Linked DNA regions of Pelodiscus sinensis. The protein of the gene in region 1 purifies or fractionates together with the protein of each later gene. This does not show direct contact. Links are inferred from orthologs where the notes say so. Each region holds a gene or a part of one and is shown on either strand. Other genes may lie near its edges. The genes, in order: VPS41 and VPS33A.

Evidence for each region.
Region 2: the proteins of VPS41 (region 1) and VPS33A purify together in Homo sapiens (affinity purification with mass spectrometry; 5 studies listed by BioGRID and IntAct, counting the BioPlex papers as one, with this or other methods). This does not show direct contact. The link is inferred for Pelodiscus sinensis from reciprocal best matches to the Homo sapiens genes VPS41 and VPS33A.

What each region holds. Positions count from the first base shown.
Region 1 is NC_134712.1:167,505,051-167,516,417, forward strand, and holds the start of VPS41 (vacuolar protein sorting-associated protein 41 homolog), read left to right. Parts: upstream 1-5,564; 5' UTR 5,565-5,579; coding exon 5,580-5,600; exon of another isoform or gene 5,601-5,680; intron 5,681-5,955; exon of another isoform or gene 5,956-6,076; intron 6,077-11,367. UniProt on the Homo sapiens protein: Plays a role in vesicle-mediated protein trafficking to lysosomal compartments including the endocytic membrane transport and autophagic pathways. Acts as a component of the HOPS endosomal tethering complex.
Region 2 is NC_134725.1:33,614,860-33,627,075, forward strand, and holds the start of VPS33A (vacuolar protein sorting-associated protein 33A), read right to left. Parts: upstream 5,326-12,216; 5' UTR 5,270-5,325; coding exon 5,168-5,269; intron 4,346-5,167; coding exon 4,280-4,345; intron 3,821-4,279; coding exon 3,693-3,820; intron 1,869-3,692; coding exon 1,679-1,868; intron 1-1,678.

The DNA.
Region 1 (11,367 bases):
TTAATAAATCCAAAAGGAAGATCTTTCCCATTTTTGCCTGTTTCTTCCCAACATTCAGAATTAAATCTTGATTCTCTATAAAAAGTGTTAGGGAACAACTTTTAAACAGGGAACCAAATAAACCAATGCAGAGAGAGGAAGTAGGGCATCTATCTTCTGGAATTTGATAGTTATATATTCCATGGGCTGAGAGCTTCATCTATGGGCTGCTGTTACAACCGGTCTACAATGGACTGGTGGTTATTAGTTCTTGAATCCACTAACTATATCCTCCATCAGTCCTCAGGCTTGTCAACAAATCCCTGCTCTGTGGTCCCTTGGAAAAACCACCAGGTCCTCAGATCCATGAGCCTGAGGGATTTCAGAGTTTCCCTGTAAGGACTCTTCATTTCCATTACATAACACAACTGTTGTGGCTCTGCTGGTTTTGGGACCTGGCTGTCACTGTCCATCTGTTTCTCATATATATTTGTTTCTTACCTTGTGAGACAAGAATCATCTCTCCTTCTTAAGCTTACCCTCTGCTCCTTTCTGTTTTTAAAGTGTTAGGTTTTTAAGAGGACTCAGAGTGCCCCTTTCAGCTTAGCCCTCATTTACCTTTAATAAATAGATAATTGTACTGGCTTTATGTCATTTACTGTTCTTCATACTTTTTCATTTTCTATATAAATTTATTCTGATAATCGTAAAACAAAAAATAGATTGGGGGAGGGAATTGATGAAAAAAAAAATTCCCCTAATTTTCCTTGAGTATTTGAAGACAATTCAGAATACTTTTGAGAAAACTTAACTGCAGAGCACATAAATCAATGGGTTTAAAGTATAAGTAACAGAAATCATGCTCTTATCCATGCCCTTCTCTTTTGCAGTAAATGTTGATTAACAATTTAATGAAATTATTAAGTACCATGTAATGGTAGAACATGTGTATCATAAATGCTCCCACTTTTTACCTCGTCTTTTTTAAATGGTATGATTACTTTGAAATCTGTTTAAAGAACACAATTAGTATAGCATTCACACACTGTATTTTATTCAATTTAACACACATGCATATATACACCTGTGATGCCAACAGTACTAAAGTGAAAGTCAATGGGACCTTGGTCTACTATGTCACTTAGATCCGTTTGAAAATGTTATCCTAGAACATTAACTCTGAGAGAAATTGTTAAGTTTTTTAGTATAAAAGTCATGGGATCATATGGCACTTTGTGATTATAATGTAATGGCTATGTGCAACATTAGATGGTGATTCTGTAAAGACTTACATATAGACTTAGCGTAACACATATGAGTAGTCACATTGAAACTTAACTGCTTAAAGTACACAAAGTTAAGCATGTGCATAAATCTTTACAGGATCAGGGATTTCCCTAGGGCCAGACTGTGATAGCCTCATTCCCACTGCATTGCATATTATCCCGTAAGTACTCCCATTACAGTCAATGGGAGCAATTGTAAATGAAGGTGCTACTGAGCCACAATCAGTATTTCACAATCTAACCCCTAATCATAAAAGAATATGTGCATAATATTTCTCATTTGTAATGTAAAGGGTTATCACATCCTTTGTGAAATAATTTTTTTTAATCTCATAAAACATATATTAAAGTGAACTAAAAAGTATTAAAAGAGGATGGTAGGTGGGTGGTATTTCAAAACAATATAATGCTACCATGTGAAATACAAACATTTTATGAAGCATGCAATTTTGTAAGAAGCTCAAGGTTAACTTCATAGAAGCTAGGGTTCAATTTGAGAATAGACTCACAAAAATAATTCTTTGATGGTATGCGATAAAGAAAAAGACTTTGCAAGCTTCTTTGTAAAATCCAAACATACACCAAAAAAAAAAAAAAAAAAAGAGAGAAAAGCCTTTGAACTTCTATTCTTTTGATGACAGTATTAGCTTCGTTTTATCAGGCTTAAGTGTTTTTAAATGCTATTAAGTCATAGACATTTCTTAACAATGTGAGTGGTGGTGGGGGTCGAGGGAGATAACTCAGCTGAAGTTTGTTTTATTTGAATCAGTCCTACTTGAAACAGACTAAGTGCTCTTAGCACCAGAGACACATCAATATCTAGGAAGTGGTACGGATACTTGCAATTACCATGTTTCAAGGCAGAGAAAAGGAAAGCAAAAACCCAAGATCTGCATTCTGGTGGTGTTTGGAATTTGAACATGGATCAAGACCTATATTGCAATGACAAATCCGATCTTTATAAAAGGATAAATAAAAAAAACTAGACAAAAATTCATCTGTACATTGGAACATTTGAAATCCAGCTTTGTAATTGAATACTTGGTAGACAGCACATGATCTGCATTCTTTTAGGTGACCACTAAGGAACTCCATGGAACTGGAAGTTCTGTATTACAAGAGATAGTACAAACTTTAAAAAAATCCAATTGTGATAATGTTAAAACCCATATTTGAGTATCTTATGAAAACTGTGCGCTTTTTTTTTTTTTTTTTTTTTTTTTTGCTACTAGCAGTACTGCCAGAGTATTACTCTGATTCTAAAAACATGCTTAAACCAAAACTTGATGTGTTTGGAATCTGAACCTGCATCCCAAATGGCCCATATTTGTCTAACTGGCTGACCCAAACCTTCACACCCTCACTTTTGTAAGCATAGTGTCCCCAGCACCATGAAGGAAATGTATGCAATGGTAATTTCTGTTGCATGTTTTAACAGGATACAACATTTGCCCTGTACAGCATTGCCTTTCTATTTACACTAAAATGTAGGTAATAGGAATGTGGGTGAGTGAGCCTTACTGAGTGAGGCTTACCAGTTCCAGTTAACCAGTTAGGACTGGAGCAGCTCCCCACCTGCCATAGGAAAGGAGCTGCCCCGGCAGCCCCTGTCCACCCTTTTGCCCACTTCTTCTTTAATTGGTTTATGGGTTGAACATTACATTTAAACATAAAGTTTGACCAGTTAACCAATTAAATGGGATTTTACATCCTTACTAAGTATTTTCTTTCTAAATGTTGATTGAGAATGAAAGATGCTCTGTAAAGGCCTAAGTCTGACAGATGCTGAATGCCTCAGGTGCTGAAGACATTCAAATCTCATTGATGACCTTACAAGCGAATAGTTCTCAGCATCTCCCAAGAGGCAGAATCAGGTGTTAAAATATTAAATTTGCCTGATACAATAAACACTTGTAATTATGGTAGATTGAATTCATACCTTAAGTATGAACAAACAAAAATTAGTTTTGTGCTTTTCTGCCAAAAATAAGAACGAAGAACATTGTAAGTAAATTACATTGTTTATACCACTTATTCTATGTTTGGTCAAAATAAGAACAGCTGTTATTTAACTGCTTTCTCTGTGACAAACATATTCTTTTATGTGTTAAAGAACCAAAATTTGCCAGGTCTTTGTCATTTTCATAGCAAACATTTAGCTTTAGGCATTTATAAATCAGTTAATAGTATTTATTTACTTTAAAATGCCACATACTTTCAGAGAGTATGAAAGCTTATCCATTAGATATTTGATGAAATCTCTGGCCCCAAAGAAGGCAATGAGCAATTTGCCATTGATTTTAATAGGGCTAGGATTTCACTGTGTATTCCCAGATTTTAGTAGATGTAATTGATTGGTTTAAAATCTACACAAGAAAAAAGACCCTCTTGGTATTAAAACAACAAGAAAAGATGGTATATATTAAAATACTGACATATGTTAGGGAGAATATTTTCTGATACTCTAAAGCCAGAGTATGCAACTATTATGTGGACATGCATCCCTTAGAAGCATATGAACACTTTTGTGCAGGCTCCAGCCCTTAGTCCGAATTGGTTTATTTCAGTTAAATATATGCCATAATGGAGATTAGGTAAATGGCCTGAGTTATGCCCCAGAATCTCATGCAAGGGAAATCACATATGTGTATCACACCAACCCAAAAAAGAAGGGTTTAAACTATAAAATGTCAGCTTGGCACACAGTATTAAAGACAATTAAAAATATAAAGCTACTTGTGAAAAGTAGCAGGGTTATTCCTGATCAGTTGTTGAAAGACTCTCTCTTTTCCTTTATGAGATTTTAAATATTTTAAAATTGCTTCTACTGTAGACCTGTATTGTAGTCAACTTGCTCATGCTTTTGCTCCATCTTCCATTATACATTAACAGAACTGTAAAACTATGCATTATAGATCGACACAGGTAATAGAGAGACTCCTTTAATAAGTGGTAAGAGCTTATGTTTTATGAGAAAAAAAGAGAGTATTCTTCCTACAGTAGCTCTGACTGGTCACTATGCCCCAAAGCGGTGGGCAAGTGAGTGAGACAGCTATTAGAGGGGGTCTTCCCGCAGGCAGAGCTCAAATTTGCTGGAGACTGGGAGCTTTACTTCTTTTTACTGGCCTCTTGCTCTAGCCCAATCAAAATCCTATCACCTGTAAAATAAAATAAATAAAATAAAATAATAAAATAATAATAATAGGAATTGGCAATACTGGAAGAAGGTGATTTTGGTCCCCGCTTCAAGACCTCTGATTAGTGAAACCAACTGAGAGCTGGGTCTCAATGTGCTAGACTCTCTTCAAACATGTAGACCATGTCTACCTAGCCGGGCAAAAGTCAAATTAAAATACACAACTTCAGCTGTGTCAATTGCGTAGCTGAAATAAAAATAGCTTGAATCGGCTTTTAGAGCTATCTACACAGCAGAAAGTTGAAGGAAAAATACTCTTTGTTCGACTTCCCTTACTCTTCATGAAATGAGGGTTACAAGAGTCGGAGTAAGTAGTCCTCCACATCGACATTATTTTGAGATAATGGCTTGCTGCGTAGACGTGCATTTTGTTATTTTGAAATAACGTCAGTTATTCCAAAATAACAGTTCGGTATAGACATAGCCATAGTAACAATTTTCCCTAAACTGAAGAACTTGCAATTCAATGCAAAGCACGGTGGTGGGTTTGAGAAATGGGATCTGTAACTTCTCAACATCATTTTATGTGGGGCTACTAAACTTTCATTAGTTAGCAACAGCTTTTAATTCCTATGGAACTGACCAAGATTCCAACTCTCTCCATTATATTTTAAGTCTCCTAACTGGTATTTTTCGTTAAAGCCCCAGCTTCTGGAATCATGTCAATTCATCAGGCTTTCAAACTTTCATTTTTAAAGAGGAGGCACTCATGGTTGAGGCAAAAAGCATGAAAATGCCAAGTTCAAATTGCTCAATATTTTTAAGACGGGGGGGGGGGGGGTTTCTAGCTGCTAATTTTTTCAGTGGTTGGGGCTGGCAATGCTCTGTCACTATTATTGTATGGTAATGATGCACAGTACGAAGAGCTGGTTTTGCCTGTCCTTAAGGCAAGCACAAACATTAAACTCCCTTATTAGTTTGTAAATGTGCTTAATTCCCTCCCCTTCCCGCCTCCCAGCAAGGGCATGGCAACACAGGTGCAGATGCCCGCCCGCCCGCGCTTTGCCAGCTCTAAGCCCAGCAGAGGCAGAGGAAGTAGAAAAACTACGTTACCCAAACTGCCTCCGCCGCCCTCTGACTTTCAGGGGCCTCTCACATGACTGTCAGGCGGCTGCACCATGGCGGAAGCAGAAGCGAAGGTAAAGGCTGGGCCAGAGCAGGGAGCACTGAGAGCTGCACAGGGGGAGTCCTGGTGTTTGCTCCACGCGGAGGAATTAATCTAGGGGAGCGGAGAGGCCCATGCGCTTGCTCACTGACAGAGAGGAAGCGAGAGCTTGATGGGGGGCGGCAGCAGGGGACGGGAAAGTGGGGAGAGTGTTGTGCGGGGCACGGGCAGCAGGAGGGGGTGGAGATTGGGGAGGACGCTGAGGGTGCAGCAGTAGGATAGGTCAGGTATTGTAAGGGACAGCAGCAAAACAGGCAGGAACTGGGGGGGAGAGAGGCGCCGAGAATGGGGGAGCTGATTCTGTATCCCCTATTTGTAAAGACACCAACCTTGTGTAGGCGCGAAGCCATTTAAAACTGAGCTGGAACTCTGCTTCTCTCCGTCGAAGGTTCAGAGTCGTCACGTTCTCTTTCACCTGTGTGTACACAATAGCGTAACCCCCGAATGAAAGAGCACGGAATCACACGTCACACTACTTGGACATTGATTAAGATATTGGCTATTAAATACCACTCGTGTATTAGGTGGTTTTTTTTGTATCAAATTCCTACTGATTTTGGTGGCTATAATTTGTCACTTTAACTGTTTAGTAATGTGTCCGATCAGTTACTGGTATCAATCAGTTGTGGATTATGAGAAGACAGTATTAGCATTTCTTATATTGTTTTAAAAACAAGATTATTGGTGACTTGTGGGTTGGACCTATTTTATATAATATATATATATACACCAAATAAATATTATTTGGTGTGTGTGTGTGTGTGTGTATACACCCCAACTATTTGCTTTAAGTTATATTTATAATGCCTCATATTATACTATATGGGGACAGTCCTCTTTTTGAGAACAGTATTGTATAGGGAAGTGTGTAGAATTTGTCCATAATTTAAAGTCTTTCATAGCCATTCCATGGTATAGGTCAGAACTATGCTTTAAATCAGGGTTGGGAAACCTTAGGCCTAGGGGCCAGATGCAGCCCCCACCTTGCTTGCATCTAGCCCTTCAAGGCGTGTTCTCCCACTTCCCCCCCATTGGGGACCCTGTGCTTGCACTCCAGTCCCCCTGCTGCCCCATCGCAGAGCTGGAGCACACAAAATCTAGATGGGCCTCTCTAGGCTCTGGTGTGCAAGGAGAATGTGGGGAGTGTCTTTTTTTTCTTCTCAGTCAGGGTGCCATGTCAGTGAGGTGGGTTTTTTTGGGTTTTTTTTCTGCTTCTCACTTGTTTGTGGTCCCCCACTCTTGCTTTAAATTTTTTATCTTTTAAAAACAACTTTTTTATAGTCTGACATCAAAGAAGAGGGTTTAAATCTTTGCAAGACCAAACCAATGTTTGATATTCATTATTATGTGTATCACAGGACTATCAAGTGTCATCTTCATTGATAATTTCTGTTTCTTGAAAGGGATACTAAATTTGTAATGCCTTAGGATTTAGGGCAGAGGTGGGCAATACATTTTTAAAAGGGGGCCACTTCATAAATGGTTGAAGTGGCCCTGGGCTGCCCCAGAAGGGGCAGGAGACTTCTCCCACAGACCCTGATTGGCCTGGGGGTGGGGAAGCTCATGAAGTCATGTCCTCCCCCCCAACCCCTTGCTTAGAGAAAATTGCCAGCTGTTTTAGAACAGCTGGCATTTCTTTTTAAGCTCTGCAGTGGGAGGAGACCTCGCACACTCTCCCTAGCCCCAGACCAATAAGGACCTGGGGCTGGGGGGAGTGCGGGAAGTCTATTGCCCCCTGCCTTGCCAGATGTGTACGACAGCTAGAGAGAAATGCTGTCTGTTTTTAAAATAGCATTTCTAGCTGCCGTGCACCCTTTGCGAAGGTTAGGAGGAGGAGACTTCATGTGCTCCCTCATCTCCAGGCCTGGAGTGGCTTGGCAGCGGGGGAGTGGCAGGGCAGCCACTGGCTGGGTCCTGTGGTGGTCCCTTTTTCCACCCTTGATTTAAGGCAATCTCTTAACTATTGCACATCAGGGTGAAACCCAGTGAGGTGTGGAGGTGGTCTTGTAGTTTATCCCATTTCTGCCTGCTGCTGGGTTCTTTCCCCTAGAATTATATAGTAGTGGAATGCTGAACTACATGAATCCACTATGGTGATTCCTGTGCATGACTGAAGCACATTTGAAGTGAATCCAGGAGTCAGCCTGTGCAACATTTGTGCTGCAGAGCCAAATTCTGCTGGTCTCTGCGTGCAGCAGTTTTAGAATGGGGCCTTGTCAATTGGTAAAAGTACATGACTCTGGAAGCGAGTATTACTGTAATAACCTTACAAATAGTGTAATCATATATATAGTAGCCCAGTGTCTGAGAGTCTGTAATGCTGAAATGCTGGCTGTTCCCTCTGGGCAGCCTGTGCTGCTTGCTCCCTGCGGCGGCCCGGCTGAGCAGTGCAGAAGTCAACCTAGCGCCACGGCGGGAGGGGAAGAGGGGCAGGGCAGTGACATACATGGCCGGGGGCGGGGCCTGGCCATGTACGTCACCGCCCCGCCCACCTTCGCCTCCCGCCATGGCTCTCGGCTGACTTCTGCGCCACTCAGCTGGGCTGCCATGGGGGAACCTAAACGGACGCTTGCTCCCCTGTAGCGGCCTGGCTGAGCGGCGCAGAAGTCAGCCAAGCGCCATGGTGGGAGGCAAAGGGGGGGGCGAGGTGGTGATGTGCGGCATGACAGCGGCTCCAGGCCCTGCCCCTTGGCCGTGAACGTCACCACCCCACCCCACCCTCCTTCGCCTTCTGCCGTGGCGCACAGCTGACTTCTATGCTGCTCAGCCAGGCTGCTGCGTCCCCCGAGTGAGAGGCAGGAGGGGGAGGAGAAGGAGAAGAGAGAGACAGGAGGCGGAGGAGAACTGGAGGGGGGGCGGAAAGGAGGAGTACATGCACGTGCACACACACACACAGAGACAGACAGACCAGAGGCTCAGGAGAGAAGACTGACATGGAGGAGAGACCTGAAAATCCCATCTTATGACGGGCTAATTGGCTAGTGGGTAATATTATGTATTTATGGTCCAATCCTGTCAACACTGTATAGTCAGTGGGCTCGTCTACACTGGCCCCTTTTCCGAAAGGGGCATGCTAATTTCACAGGTCGTAATAGGGAAATCCGCGGGGGATTTAAATATCCCCCGCGGCATTTAAATAAAAATGTCCGCCGCTTTTTTCTGGCTTTTAGAAAAGCCGGAAAAGAGCGTCTACACTGGCCCCGATCCTCCGGAAAAAAAGCCCTTTTCCAGAGGATCTTATTCCTACTTTGAAAAAAGTAGCGGACATTTTTATTTAAAAATGCGGAAAAAAGCGGCGGACATTTTTATTTAAATCCCCCGCGGATTTCCCTATTACGACCTGTGAAATTAGCATGCCCCTTTCGGAAAAGGGGCCAATGTAGACGTAGCCAGTGGGATTACTCCTGTGCAGTGTGTTACACACTTAAATGTGGGCAGCGTTGAGACCTAGTTTTAATGTATTTTACAATAAACTTTGGGAGATAGGATTTAATGTCAGGGTAGCAGGTGTCAGCACACAGCTAATTGCTATGTGCAGGCTGCTTCACTTCAGAAGATGAAGAATGCAGAGGTGGAAGAAAGAAATGAGCCCATCTGAATTGGTTGGAGAGATTTCCTGCTGGAAGCTGAGGAATGAGTACAGGGTAGGATGGGATATATGCTGGGAGTCAGCTGAAATTTTGGTTGTTCTAGGCCCTCAAGTCCTCTTTTAATGTATGTGTTACTTCTAAGATGGAATGTTCTACACATATTCGCTCTATAGTATTCGCTCTATTCTTTTAGCATTTATGTGGTTCCCTTATGTGAGACAAGAATAAAATAGATTTAAGAAAAGTTTCCTAGCTCAAGTGTAGCAGTTTCATATGCTATAAGTATAATTTGTTTAAAGCCTTCAGAAAATTGGCTTTTCCATATCTACTCCACTGACACACACATACTTTTTGACAGACTATTGGTGGGTGGGTGTGTGTGTGTGTGTTTTAAAGGGTTGGAGGGGCATAAGAGAGCTTAGGAGAACTGTTTTCCCAGGATTGTATACCTAAACATGCAGAAGTTTAAGTTCTCTGGAGGAGGCCGATCCTAATGTTGGTATTTATAGGCTGTACCCCTTCTGCAATGTTAAGGATTTTACCGGTTGAGACTGTTTCTCTTGTGTTCTCTCCATTGTCTGTTACTAAAACCAATAATTAGTGGATATTAAAAAGAAACAGTCAAATATAAAAGTATCATTAAAATGCTTATGGTCTATTAACAAACACCTTTGGTTATTAAACCAGTCTAAATTAATTGTTTGCACTTCTCTCCCTTTCAGCTGTTATATGAGAGTGGTCTTTTCACTTTTACATGTAGTGACCGGTGTTTGAGTTTCCATGCATGGGAGAAAAACTATAAATAGTGTGTGTATGCAGGTGGACTTTCACTGGAATTTAAGCTTTTTGATTCTCCTTCCCTACATATCTAAGATATGGGCCTTAAGTCAGTTAATGGCAACTGTTTTTAATATAAAGGAAAAACCCTCCCACAATGTAGATCAGGCCTGGGCAAAATACGGCCCGCCAAGCCACCGGATCTAGCCCGGGGATGCGGCAGGCAGCCCTAGGCATTCTTTGCCCCACCCTCACACTCAGAAAGGCAGCTGCTGGGAGGTTTCACTTTAAAATCTGTGAGCCTGAAGGGGAGGAAGGAAGGCTTTAGGAAACTGGCCAGAAGCACCGTGCCCCCTTCCCTCCGAGGCTCCTAGTTATTCACAGAGGACATGGCTGCAGCCTGTGTGGAGACAGGGCAGGCAGAGAGGCTGCTTCAGGAAAGTGCTGGGCTACTGACTGGTAAGTCTCCTGGCCAGAGCCTGCCTCTGGCATCCCGGTCTCTCCCTCCCCCAACCCTCTGCCCCCCCCCCCCCCCCCCCACTCCTGTCCTCTACTCCATATACCCAAATTCTCTGCCCCCCTGCTGCATGCATATCCCCTCCCAGATCTGGTACCCCAGTCCTCTGCCTCAGATCACTCCCCTCCTGCCCTAGTTTACAACCCAACCCCTTGCACCTCCTCCTGTACCCCAGTTCCTTGCCCTAAGTCACAGTCCAACCCCCTGCACTCAGTCCAGTGCCCCAGGTCACTACAGCCTCATTCACCAAAACTTCTTCCCTTACTCCAAGCTCCCTTCTGCACCCAACCTCCGTCTCAGACCTCGCACCTTCTCCATTAATATCATGGAAGAGTGCCGCCCTCAACCACTTTCCAAAATCTTGGAGTTGTCCCCCCATCAAAAATTATTGCCAACTCCTGATGTAGATGGGAAACTGCATTAGGTGAGATAAATACATTGTTAAATCTGCCAGCTCAGAGATTAACTATATTGGTAAATTTTCCCAGTTTTCTCATCTGTGCGTCATTTCTCTGTTCTTGGGCTTCTTGAAAACCAGCATCTGCCAAGTGGCTTTATTATACATCAACACCACCACTGATTCCCCACCTGCTTCCACTCTAGAGTGTGATGGGCCTGCCAATGACAGTGATTAGTTCACTGTTTTGGATTCTGGTCACTTACTAGTCACTCATCAGGGATTTTCTGTTCACAGTTAGGAGACTATTTTAAAAATAAAAAATGGAATTCGGGATAATCCTCTTGGTTCATACATTTAAAAAAAATCCACCCACCGAAACCCCATTGTAGTCATGACTGCAGTTACTGTTCCAATTTTACCTGTGGGAATGGGAGAAGTCAGGCAGAAAGCTTTTCAG
Region 2 (12,216 bases), on another chromosome or scaffold:
GAGGGGCGCAGCTAGTACGCCCCCCCACCAGCAGACCAGGCTTTTCTCTGGACGCCTGTGGTAGAGCATCTGGGGCACTGCCGGTTGGTCCCGCAGCGCCGCTCTGGGCGCTACTGGACCAACCCGGCAGCACCCCAGCTGCTCTGCCCCAGGCGTCCTGATTCAGCCGCTGCTGAAACTGACTAGCGCTGACTACAGGAAGCCCAAGGCAGAGTTGCTCTGCCCCGGGCTTCCTGGAATCAGCTGCTGATCAGTTTCAGCAGCAGCTGACTTGGGGACACCTGGGGTTCTTAAGTTGAATCTGTATGTAAGTCGGAACTGGTGTCCAGATTCAGCCTGTTGAAACTGATCAGAGGCTGATTCCAGGAAGCCCGGGGCAGAGCAACTCTGCCTCAGGCTTCCTGTAGTCAGCCGCTGGTCAGTTTCAGCAGCGGCTGAATCTGGACGCCAGTTCCGACTTACAGATTCAACTTAAGAACAAACCTACAGTCCCTATCTTGTACATAATCCGGGGACTGCCTGTATATGTTTCATAGTTAAACAGGACAGTGGTTTCCAGCAATGCCAACTGGAGGGGTGTCCAGAACTAAGCCCAAGTGAGAATGAAAGCTACAATTCACCATGCTATTTAACCAGTCATACAGCATTGCAGGTGCAGGGGCTGGTTATTTAGACATGCACAGAACAAATTAAGTTTTGGAAGAAATAAATGACCTTGAGATAAAGTCCAGAGCCCTCCTCCACAGAGCAGAGAGACCTTAACAGTGAGAAGCATTCAAGAGGATAGGAAAGATAATAGCTGGTGCCAGGAGCTACAATGAGTAGTTCAATTACTCCTTCTGGAAAAACCACAGCTGTAACACTCCAGCCAGCAGCCCAGTAACTGGACTGGAAAGCAACAACATTCATGTGTACCAGCAATGAAAAGAGCTGGTCTCACAAGCAGCACAACTCTTCATCTTGCCGGCTCTATCCTCAAAGAATTAATAATTGCTATTTGGGAATGTGTTATTTTAGAATCCTCTAAGCAATGTGCTGCTCCATATGTAATGCTGCCGAGTAAGAGCTGCAACAAAAAGTCTCTTTCCGGTGACTCAAGTCAATTAGAAAATGTGTCACCAAGCTGGCAAGTTTTATCATGTTCTGACAACCCCTCTGCTGCTCACCCAGGGCTTGAGTCAATACATTAACAAATTGAAAGCCTCACATAGATTTAATTGGCATTACACGTGCTGTGCTGGTGATGCAGGATACAGACACAGCACTGTGGCCCATCTTAAGACAAGTGTTAAGTCTTTGTGCTACTATGGTGTGTGGCAGCCTAACAATTACACTTACCATTTTGTCACACATTTGACAATACATTGGAAGTTCTTTGTAAAGATTACCCTCACAAATGCTGTTTGTACAAGTATTGCTCACATTATTCAGATGGGGAAACTGGCACACAACACGGCCTAAAGTGATTCGTTCTGAGGTGCATCGTGGCAGTCAGAAACAAAGCCCAGGAGTTCTAACTCTTAAGTGCACTGTTCTACCAGAATCTGACCACATTTGCTCTATAGCTCCTTTTATTGCCTGGCAGCTAATCCATCTGGAAAGTGTTGAGATCCTTGGGTGACGACACCATACAAACGTGCAAAGTATCATTTTTCTCAAGGGAAACATCAGGACTTACTTTAAATGCAGTTTCAGACTCCATGGATAGCAAGTCTCCATCAAACGGAATGAGGTCCAAACTGTACTGCTCTCGATGAATGAAGGACCCCAGTACTCCCTGATCTTTCAACCGCTGTTCACACAACAAGCTGCGACGGGGCACAAACAAAATGTGGAAGTCCCTCTGCGGAGAGCGAACTCTGTCTTCACTGAAAGAGACTCAGCTTAAGTTGTCATGCGTATAGAAGCACAGTACATGCTGACCATGGTTACTCAGACTGGCAACAGAGAAGATGTGCTGCTTAGACAAAGGAGCAATAAATGGAAGTACCCACATTCCTGGTACTTTCTAGTTCCTTATTAATAAAGGCAATCCTGCACACAGCCCTCATGTTGTACAAAATGGCTTAAAGGCTAAGCAGTAGGTCTGTGGGCTAAGCAGCTTGGCAAGATGTATGCTGCTCAGAACCACAGGTTTGAATCCAGGGCTGGATTACCCAATAGGCAGACTAAGCACATGCTTAGGGCACCAGCAAAGCAGGGGCACCAAAAAAGATGAGATTTTTATGGTATAGTATTGTTTTTATTTTGAATTACATATGGGGGGGGGGGGGCACCATAATCTTTTCAGTGCTTCAGGTCTTAATCCGGCCCTGTTTGTATCCCAAACAGAGTTGCCTTTACTTTTTGCAGTTGACTGTGGGTGGATCGTTCAAACAAGAACTGCCTGCCAAGGAACCATTCATGTTCAATTAAAGAAAACTGAGTAGAGTCTCTTGGTATCTTTAAGCAAAAAATTCCCCCTCTCCATCTTGTTGCTATGCACCTGCTTCTCAACCTCCAATCCCAGAAATGACTGCATTCAAGTGGTGTAGTACCTATAGGTGAGGATTCTGATCTTAGTCCTGCCAAGTTAAGTAGCTGTTTCACACTGAAGTGACAGATTAATTATTAGTGAGTAGGCCGAAATCTACCCTACTTATTTCATTTACTACTGACACCTGGTATGAACCTGGGACAGTGGGGAGGCAAAAGGGGGAAAAAGAAAACATGAACCCCACTAAACCATCACAGCTTTGAGTATATAAGAATAGGAAGGTAAGAACAGCCATATTGGGCCAGACCAAATGTCTTCTGACAGTGTCCAATGCCAGGTGCCCCAGAAGGAATGAACAGAACAGATAATCATCAAGTGATCCATCCCATCACTCATTCCCAGCTTCTGAGAAGCTAGGGACACCATCTCTGACCATCCTGGCTAACAGCGACTAATGGATCGTTCCTGCATGAGTTTATCTAGCTTTAAAAAAAAAAAAAAAAAAAAAAAAAAACACTGTTATAGTTCAAAAATGGCCTTCACAGCATCCTTGAGGAAGAGTTCCACAGGCTGATTGTATGTTTTGTGAAGCAAAACTTCCTTTTGTTTTAAACCTTCTACTTATCAAATGAAATGAATGACCCCATAGTTCTTATGTAAAGAATAAATAGCCCTTCATTTACTTTCTTGATACCAGTCCTACTTTTATAGACCCCAAATATGCCCCCCATCTCTTTTCCAAGTTGAATAGTCTCAGTCTTATTCACCTCTCCTCAGACAGAAGCCATTCCATACCCCTAATCCATTTTTTGCCCTTTTGTGAACCTTTTCCAATTCCAATGTATCTTTTTTGACATGAGGTGGTCACATCTGCACACAGTATTCGAGGTATAGGTGTACCACGGATTATATGGAGGTAATATATTTTCTGTTTGATTAACCCCTTCTTAATTATTCCCAATATTGTTTGCTTTTTTGACAGCCACATACACACTGAATAGATGTTTTCAGAAAACTATCCACAAGAACTCCAAGATCTCTCTCGAGTGGTAATAGCTAATTTAGACCTCATCATTTTATATGTATAGGTGGGATGATGTTTTCTGACGTGCATTACTTTGCATTTATCAACATTAAATGTAATCTGTCACTGTGTGGCCCAATCACCTAGTTTTGAGATGCAGCTGTTGCCTTTCCACTGAAACACCAACTATACCTGAGCACATTTTCAGCAATTATGTCCATTAATTCTAGCTTGGGCCTGACAAAGAAAATAATATTCTTGACATCAGCAGGTGGCAGACGTCCCGCCTTGAGGGTGAACATCTTCTCCACCTCATGTTCCTATGAGGAGACAAAAATGATATTCAATCAAGAGCTTCTTGTTATGCTGAAAATTGGTTTCAGAAAGGGCTACATCAGCTTAAGTTACCCAATCTGCTATTTGTTACTCTGATGCCTTATCAAAGGACAACAACATGGAATTAATCTTCTATTTCCACATGCTTATTATGCAAATTATTAGTTTACTGCGTTACACTATCATTAAAGATGGAGGTTCGACATACCTGGTCTGTAGGAGGAAAGTTGGCAGAAGAGCAGTAAGCGATATTCCAAAAGGAATATCTGCTATATGACAACACCTTAGCCCAGCAAATCATGGTAAATTTGAAAGGCAAACTCTAGGACAGTTTATAGAAATTGTGCTAATGGCTCTAAAAGCCATTAAGAGACTGAGGGTCCAAAGAGCTTTTTGAAATTTCAGTCTTAATAAACACAACATGGATGTCATGTAGACCTTACCTTTAAAAGCGAGTATTGCGCAATTAATCCAAAGGGTCCTGTGAGGTATTCATCCCACACTATTGCCTAGGAAGAAAAAAGCCTCAGAAAAGTCAGTTTACACAAGGAAGAAAGAAAACTCTTACTGAAGGTGATACGCTGCTCAAACATTTGTTTTGGGAGAAGTTCCGATTTTAAGTCAGTCATGAATTACTGGGTGAATCAGAGGAGCACAATGTACTTCAAATACACTCATTAAGTTTCCCAAGAGATGTTTACTAAATAGAAAAAAAAAATCAGTGAATCTAGCAAAGGAGACAGACAAAGGGACTGGGATGGCTGGACACTGGAAGAAATTTGGTGCAGCCACACAGACAATGCTGAAGACTATGGATTTCCACTCAGATCAAGTCAAGAACCTGAACCCAGTGACATGGTCACTGTCCGTCCATTTATAGGGCTGGTCAGAGCATTATGTGAGCTTTCTATCTGCCCTAGTGAAGGCAAGTGAAAGGCACTTCCTGTGCAGTGACTTGTACTCCCAGGCTCTGCCTCTCTTACCCCACAGAGGCGGCTACATTTCAGAGATGCTGCACACCATGGATGTAGTGTGTAAAGCTTCCAAGAGTTAACACCCCAGGGCTGCCACGTGGGGGGGGGAGCAGCCCCGCAGGGGTCTCAGACCCAGGCAGCGCAGAGCAGGGCCCGAGGGTTTTGGAGCCAGGCCTGGGGGCAGGGACCCGAGGGTGAGCGGGACGGGGGGAGGCGCAGTGGGGGGGCTCAGAGCCTGGGGAGAGGCGGGCGGGCGGGGGGGGTCTCGGAGCCGGGGGCAGCGGGGGGCGGGGTCTCGGGGGCCAGTCCCTGGGCAGCAGCTGACGCCCCGGGGGGGGGGGAGGGGCGCTCCCTCACCTTGGAGCCCGCGCACTTGTCCAGGAACTCGCGCAGCTCCCTGCGCCCGGCCTCGCGCAGCGCCGTCAGGTTCACCCGGCCCGAGCTCAGGTGCGCCGCCATCCCCCGCCAGGCCCGGCCGATCACCTGACACAGCCGGTCACGTGACCCCGCCAGGCTCTCCATTCCTCCCCCCGCCCTCCACTCAGACCCCGCCTCCTAGCGCCTGGGCATCAGCCGGCTATAAACGCTGCCCCGCAGCAGCCACGTGACCCGGTGACGAGGGCCGTTACAGGCGGGGCTTGTTCTGCCCAGGGGACGTGGTGACGAGCGCCGCTGCGTCCTGGGGGGAGGGGCTGGAGTAACTGGCGCTGAGGAAAAGGGGGCGGGTCAATCGTTATTACAAAGGGCGCTGGGTGGCAGGTGGAATTCTGCACTGACAGTCACAGGGGTGCACGTGGGGAACTATAATCCCAGCCAGAATGAAACAACATGGTCTCAATTAGCTGTTGCATCAAGAACAGAGCTTGGAGTCACTGGGAATAGTTCATTGAAAACATGCTCAGTGTTCAGTGGCAAGCTAAACAGCTAATAGACTATTAGAAAGCGTTAGGAAAGGAAGGGATAAGAAAATATCCTATTGCCTCTACTATAAAGTCACGGCATACCCACATCTTGAATACCACATGCAGCTCTGGTCAGCCCATTTAAAAAGATGTATTGGATTTGGAAAAGGTACACAAAGGGTAACAAATGTTTAGGCATTAAAGAAAAGCTTCCCTATGAGGAGTGATTAACAAGACTAGGACTTGGAAAAGAAATGACTAAAGAGTGGAGGGATATTTTGGCAATATAGAAAGTCAGGAATGGTGTGGAAAAATAGAATAAGGAAAGGTTATTTATTCCTTCACTAATCTAAGGTCACCCAATGAAATTTACAAGCAGCAGATTTAAAACAAACAAAAGACATTATTTCTTCTTAGTCAACCTGTGGAATTCTGCCAGGGAATGTTGAAAAGGCCCAAACTATAACAGGATTCCAATAAAAACAAAGTAAGTTAAAAAAGGATAGGGCAATGAATGGCTGTTAGCCAGGATGGGCAGGGATGGTGTCCCTAGCCTCTGTTTGCCAGAAGCTGGGAATGGCCAACAAGGGCTGGATCACTTGATTACATTTTCTGTTCATTTCTGGCATTGGCCACTATTGGAAGACAGGACACAAGGCTACATAGACTATTTGTTTGATCTAGTATGGCCATTATGATATTCTTATATAGAACCCTGATGTAGCAACTCCCTGCTGTAACCCACTAGACCCCACTCCTCTCCCAGAGTTGAGATGGAACCCAGGAGTCCTGACTGTGTGCCTCTTTCTCCCTGCAGAGTCAGTAATAAAGAATATACATTAAATTTTAAGCCTAGCTAGTGACCTTTAAGAGACCTGCCTCACAAGTTCATATAGGAGCTGAATGGTTTTAATATATTTTTCTTTATATAGGAATTAAAAACAATGCTCTTGTCAGCTCATTAGTAAGTTATCTGCCAAAAAAAACACAGAGTTTTCAAATGCCTTAATAGCTCCTGGAAAGAAGTGATTGATATGTGTGTGGGGGGGAGGGACGAATAGGGTTGTTCTGCCCCACCCCCCAATTTACTGCTTAGCTTGTACATAAGAATGGCCGTACTGGGTCAGACTAACAGTCCATCCAGCCTATTATCCTGTCTGTTGTCAGTGGCCAGTACCAAATGCCCCAGAGGGAGGAAACTGAGAATGATGAATAACACTACTGAACCTGCTGTCCTCACTCTGATCCCCCCACTATCACTACATGCACAGGTTCCCCCCCCCCCCCCCCCGCCCACTAAAATCTGAAATTGCATCCCTAGGTAGGAGCCCTGTGCTGGAAGGAGTAGGGGAAAAGGGATCCTGGGTAACAAGAAGCTGGAAGGAGGTCCTGAGCTAATAACTGCACTGGAGGGCAGATACTGCTGTAATGAGCTGGGAGTATTGGGGTAACTGCACCTGCCCTCTGGGTGATATGGGAGAAACAGCAGCAGCACTGAGAAGGGGGAGATACTGAGGTAATAGCACCCATGGGGCAGGGTTTTTACTGGAGTCTTGGTCTTGGGGCTGATTTGTGCTTAAAACATTGTCACAACGGCTATGTCATCTTGGAATGAAACAAAGTGCATCCCTCTACTATATAGTTATGTCTGGCAAAGAGTTGTACACACAAGGGGCTAGTTCCTGATAAAAAGGTAGGTCAGGGCTGTTAAAAGCATCTCTGCTTGTGTGATAAGGTGACCTAAGTTTTATTGTCACCGTTGCTAGGTTAACTGAAGAATTTCTGTGGCAAAAATGCCTACTTACACTGGGGTAATATGCTTTTGGTAGAATAGCTTATACCATTTCTCCAAACCAAATAAGCTATAGCCCAAAATTAACTACTGATAAACTAATAGTAATAAATCACATCCGAAGTGACAGTTGTACTGCTAAACCTTATTTCATTACCAGTATAAGTCTCTTTATTTGTTAAGATGGACATGTGATTTTTTCAGGATCTCTTGGAGATAAACTAAAAGCCTCATAGTGTACCACCACCAATACTGGAGGTAACATGGAAAAAACTATGCTAGTAGTCTCCTTAAGCTCTGTAAATAATAAATCTGTCTGATCGGTAAGTTCCAGCCATAGAATCATAGAAATATAGTGCTGGAAGGAACGTCAGAAGAGCTTATTAGGCATTGCCCCTGCACTCAGGTAGAACCAAGAAAATCTGGCCAGACCATCTCATGGCTGATCTAATTTTTTTTTAGCTTTCCCTCATAAGGCAAATTTCTGAAAGAGGTGAGTGGTTCCAGCTAAGACCATTGCTTCTGATCATCTCTGATGTCCCATTTTAACTTGATTAGAGGAGGGGCCCCCTTTGTGTCATAACTTATATGTTATCATAAGCCTCAGTTGCATATAACTCCTCATTTTCTGTCTCCCTCTGCTAGCATCTGCTTCATGCATGGGAGCCTAAAGTTAGGTACCTAAACAGAGGTGGCCAATGTAGCAAGCAGCATAATAACTGTGGGTATGTCTACACTACCACCCTAGTTCGAAGTAGGGTGGTTAATGTAGTCATTTGACGTTGCAAATGAAGCCTGGGATTTAAATATCCCGGGCTTCATTTGCATCTTGCCGGGTGCCACCATTTTTAAATCCCCATTAGCCTAATTCGAACTACCTACTCCATGCCGTGTGTAGCCGCAGGCACGGAGTCCGCACTAACGGGGATTTAAAAATGGCGGCGCCCGGCAAGATGCAAATGAAGCCCGGGATATTTAAATCCCAGGCTTCATTTGCAACGTCAAATGACTACATTAACCACCCTACTTCGAACTAGGGTGGTAGCGTAGACATACCCAGTTAGATTAAGGGCCTAACACTAACCTCCACTTTTGAAAACACTGGTGGTAGCTCTTAACTGCCCCTTTCCTTATGACATGCCACTTCCTGAGGACGCACTTTCTGAAAAGTATTGTAGGATGCTAGAGATGCTATAGCAGCATTGGGCAACCGGTGATCCGTCAGAGTTCTGTATGTAGCCTGCAAGACATTTTGTTTACCTTTGTCCAGATACAGGGTTGCCAGAGTCTACTCGTTTCCATCTGTGCAGTTCCCCCCCCCACACACAATTTGTATTACTGAAGTAACAACCACATGAAGTGAGGCATGTGCTGATTGCACACAACAGTGACTGTAGAAGCCATGCAGTCCCTCTGTATCCTGTCAGAGCACTGCTAGGGTTCAGTCGGCACACTGCAAATTCTAGGTATGTAAGCACAGTTAGCAAAACTATCTTAACTTGGGAAACCATCATGGATACAACAGTCTTGTGGCCCACTGAGATGGAGGGCCACTCCTGTGGCCCACTCCCTAACTTAAGATGCCCATCACCGGGCTATAAGTCAGTGATACTCTGAAATCAGTGGTTCAGGAGCCAAATTAGTGGTCAGCATTACCTAAGGGAGCCACAGTAGTGTGAATTCACGTATCATTTTTGTATTATAATTCATAGCAAAATGACTGACCAAATATTTTATCAACTACAATTGGTTATTAACATAGTAAACATTCTTATTGTTTAGTTAAATTACACAGCATTTTAACATGAGCTGAAGGTGAAACATCAAGTCACATGTGAGACTCAAGCCTCAGTCTGAGTGTCATTGCTCTCTATGCCTTCTGACAATTCCTGCTCAAGCAGGCTTCTTCATGCATCCCTCTACCTAAGGTCTCTCTGCTGAGTCTTACTGCATCTCCCCATTCTGTCCAGGTTCGTTACTATCCAAAAGTTCAGCAGGTAAAAATACAACAGGACAGCATTGTCATAATTATGAGGGTTAGCCAGCAGCCTGGGGATTAAGGGGTTAACTACACCTAGCCAGGTGGAGTGACCAGTAGGAATGTAGGTGGGATTTTCAAACTGGGACAAAGGATTTTGGGTTCTTTCCTTTCTCCCTTTTGTCTCTGAGAGTCCTCTGCAGCTACATAGAGGGACAAGCAGGTCTTTCTCTCCAAGAAACAATTCTTCATTTTCTGTAAGTAGGGTAATGTTTAAGTAGTTTCATTAGGCTTTATTGTTTTAAGGGTTGGGTATGGGATCTGAGATCTGGCACTGTTTAAAAGATGTTTTGGCTTTTCTTTGTAACTAAGCTCTAGGCCCATGGAGTTTCTCCATGAGTATATTTTGTCGCCTTTCCATCTCATCCTTATGCTTGCAACATGAATATTGTTGTAATAATAAAAGTTCTCTTTTCTTTTTATTAACCTGGCATTGGTTACTTGTGTGTCCTGATTTTTATAATGGGGTGAGATTTCCCAAATGATCTTTCCCCTAATCTCGTTATCAACATTTGGGTGGTGGCAGCGGAAGTTTTATTCCCAAAATCTAGGTTTTTAAGATTTTTGGGGAAGTTTTATACCAAAGCCTGGTAGATAAGGCTTTGGGGTACACTTGCTGGCCCCCACTTCTGCATTTATCATGCCAGAGTGGGGAAGGAGCCATGACAAGCATGTTTTACAATCCTGCTGTATTCTAGAGTGAAGCTTCCTGACAACAGGGAGTTGTTTTCATGACAGTTTCCTTCTGCAACAACACAAGCTCTGTATCAGAGGCAGCAAGCTTGTGTGAAGCCAACTGAAAAGCCAGCTTCCATGTGCACCAGCTCCCATCTGTCCCCCTGCCCCTCCCCTCACTACTCCATGTCAGAGGCAGTGGGGTGTGCCAAAGCAGCTGATACATGCTGGCTCCCATGCACCGTGGTACTGTTGCCTCTGCAGCAGCATTGGAGGGCGGGTAAGGAACTTCCCAGAAGCTGGTGCTCATGAGGAGCTCCCACTGCTGCCTCTGAAATAGGACGAGAGAGGGCATGCTTCTTTTAACAGTGTACTCCTTTACCCTTTCATATCCATAATCCGTGGTGAATGTTTAGCAATAGTGCAACAACTTTCAAACCTCCCTTATGTGAAATAGACAAGTGACCCTGATGAAACCGATGAGGAGGTGCCTTAGAGTGTGCAGATCTGTCAAGACACAAATAATTATTAATTAAATACAACTAGGAGGAGGACAGTAGTGCCTACAAGCCCTCATGCAGGGGTCTAATGTGACATGTATTTTACACATACAGCATTTGCTACAGCAGCAATGGGCAACCAAGAAGAGTGAATGGGCTGCATGAGTGGCTATCCAGTTCAGTGGGCCCTACTATTCTCCCACCCTCCCAGCACTTTTGGAGCACCACATCATCTGATTCATGCTGCATCCCGCTCCTGCCCAGAGCTGGAACAGCCAGCGTGGGGCTCCAGTGCCCCAGAGTGAGACACCCCCACGAGGGAGGGGGCAGATAGAGGGTTCACAAGCTGCAGGTGGAGTCTCAGTAGGCCACATGCGGCCAGGGCGCTGCTAACCACTGTGCTAGTGTTTAAATCCACTGCAGTCAATTTCACTGAAATTTAAAATCTATATAATAAATGTTTCTATTAAATTTGTAGTTTGCAATTTTTTGTAGAAAGCTTAAGTTTTGATCAGTAAATCAAAAAGCTTCACTGCTATCTACTGACATTCCAAAACCTATCTTCCGTGAAAGATAAGCAAATCTCACATAGCCTGTCTACATTAAAAATAAATAGGTTCTAGTACACATTTGGGGCTCCAACAATCCAAATGGAAATTTTCTTACCCCAGTTTCCCTCCTTGTAGAATAATCCCACACAGTCCAGAAAGGATGGGGTCTTTCCCTGTGGGATTTGGTCAGGGCTCTAGAAACATTACCCATCATTCCGTGCCACTGGAAGAACTCTTCCATTTATCTATTTCTTTTTTATTTCTAAGTAAGTGCCCCTGTACATTTTCTGAGAAATAGCAAGAATGCAAGACAAAGATGACAAGAGAATAATCATTTATTAAAGGAGATACAGTACACATTTCTTTAATTGATTTCCCTGCTGTTGTTCCTATTACTATAATACATTCATTACCCCAAATTTAAAATGATTACCAAAGATGTATTTTATTTCATGTACCAGACACTTGGTTGACGATCTTGAGCAAAAAAAATACATGAACAGTTATATAAAAGAGTAAACCCAGATACTGTATATTGTACAATAGCAATATAGCAGGGAAGATGCAGGTTTTTTTATTTTTATTTTTTTTACATACGCTAAAAGACATTTGAAGAAGATAGATTTAAGCCATCTGAATAAATTATTTAGGGCCTGATGGATCCACCCTTGCTCATGCTGAATGTTTTCTTACTATGAGTAGCCCCTCTGAAATTAATTTAAATATCTGTGTAATAAGGTACATCTGAACATTAGTATAAGACCATGTTGCATTCTGATAGTTTCACTTCTTCATTCCTTTTTATGTTTTTTCTTATAAGAAAATTCACAATTATTGAAGTTTGAATTTTCCATTTTACATTCATCTGAAAACAAAACAAAAACCAGGGAAAACATATAATGAAATAATTAGCATAAATGCTTCATTCCCTATGGACTTGACTGAAAA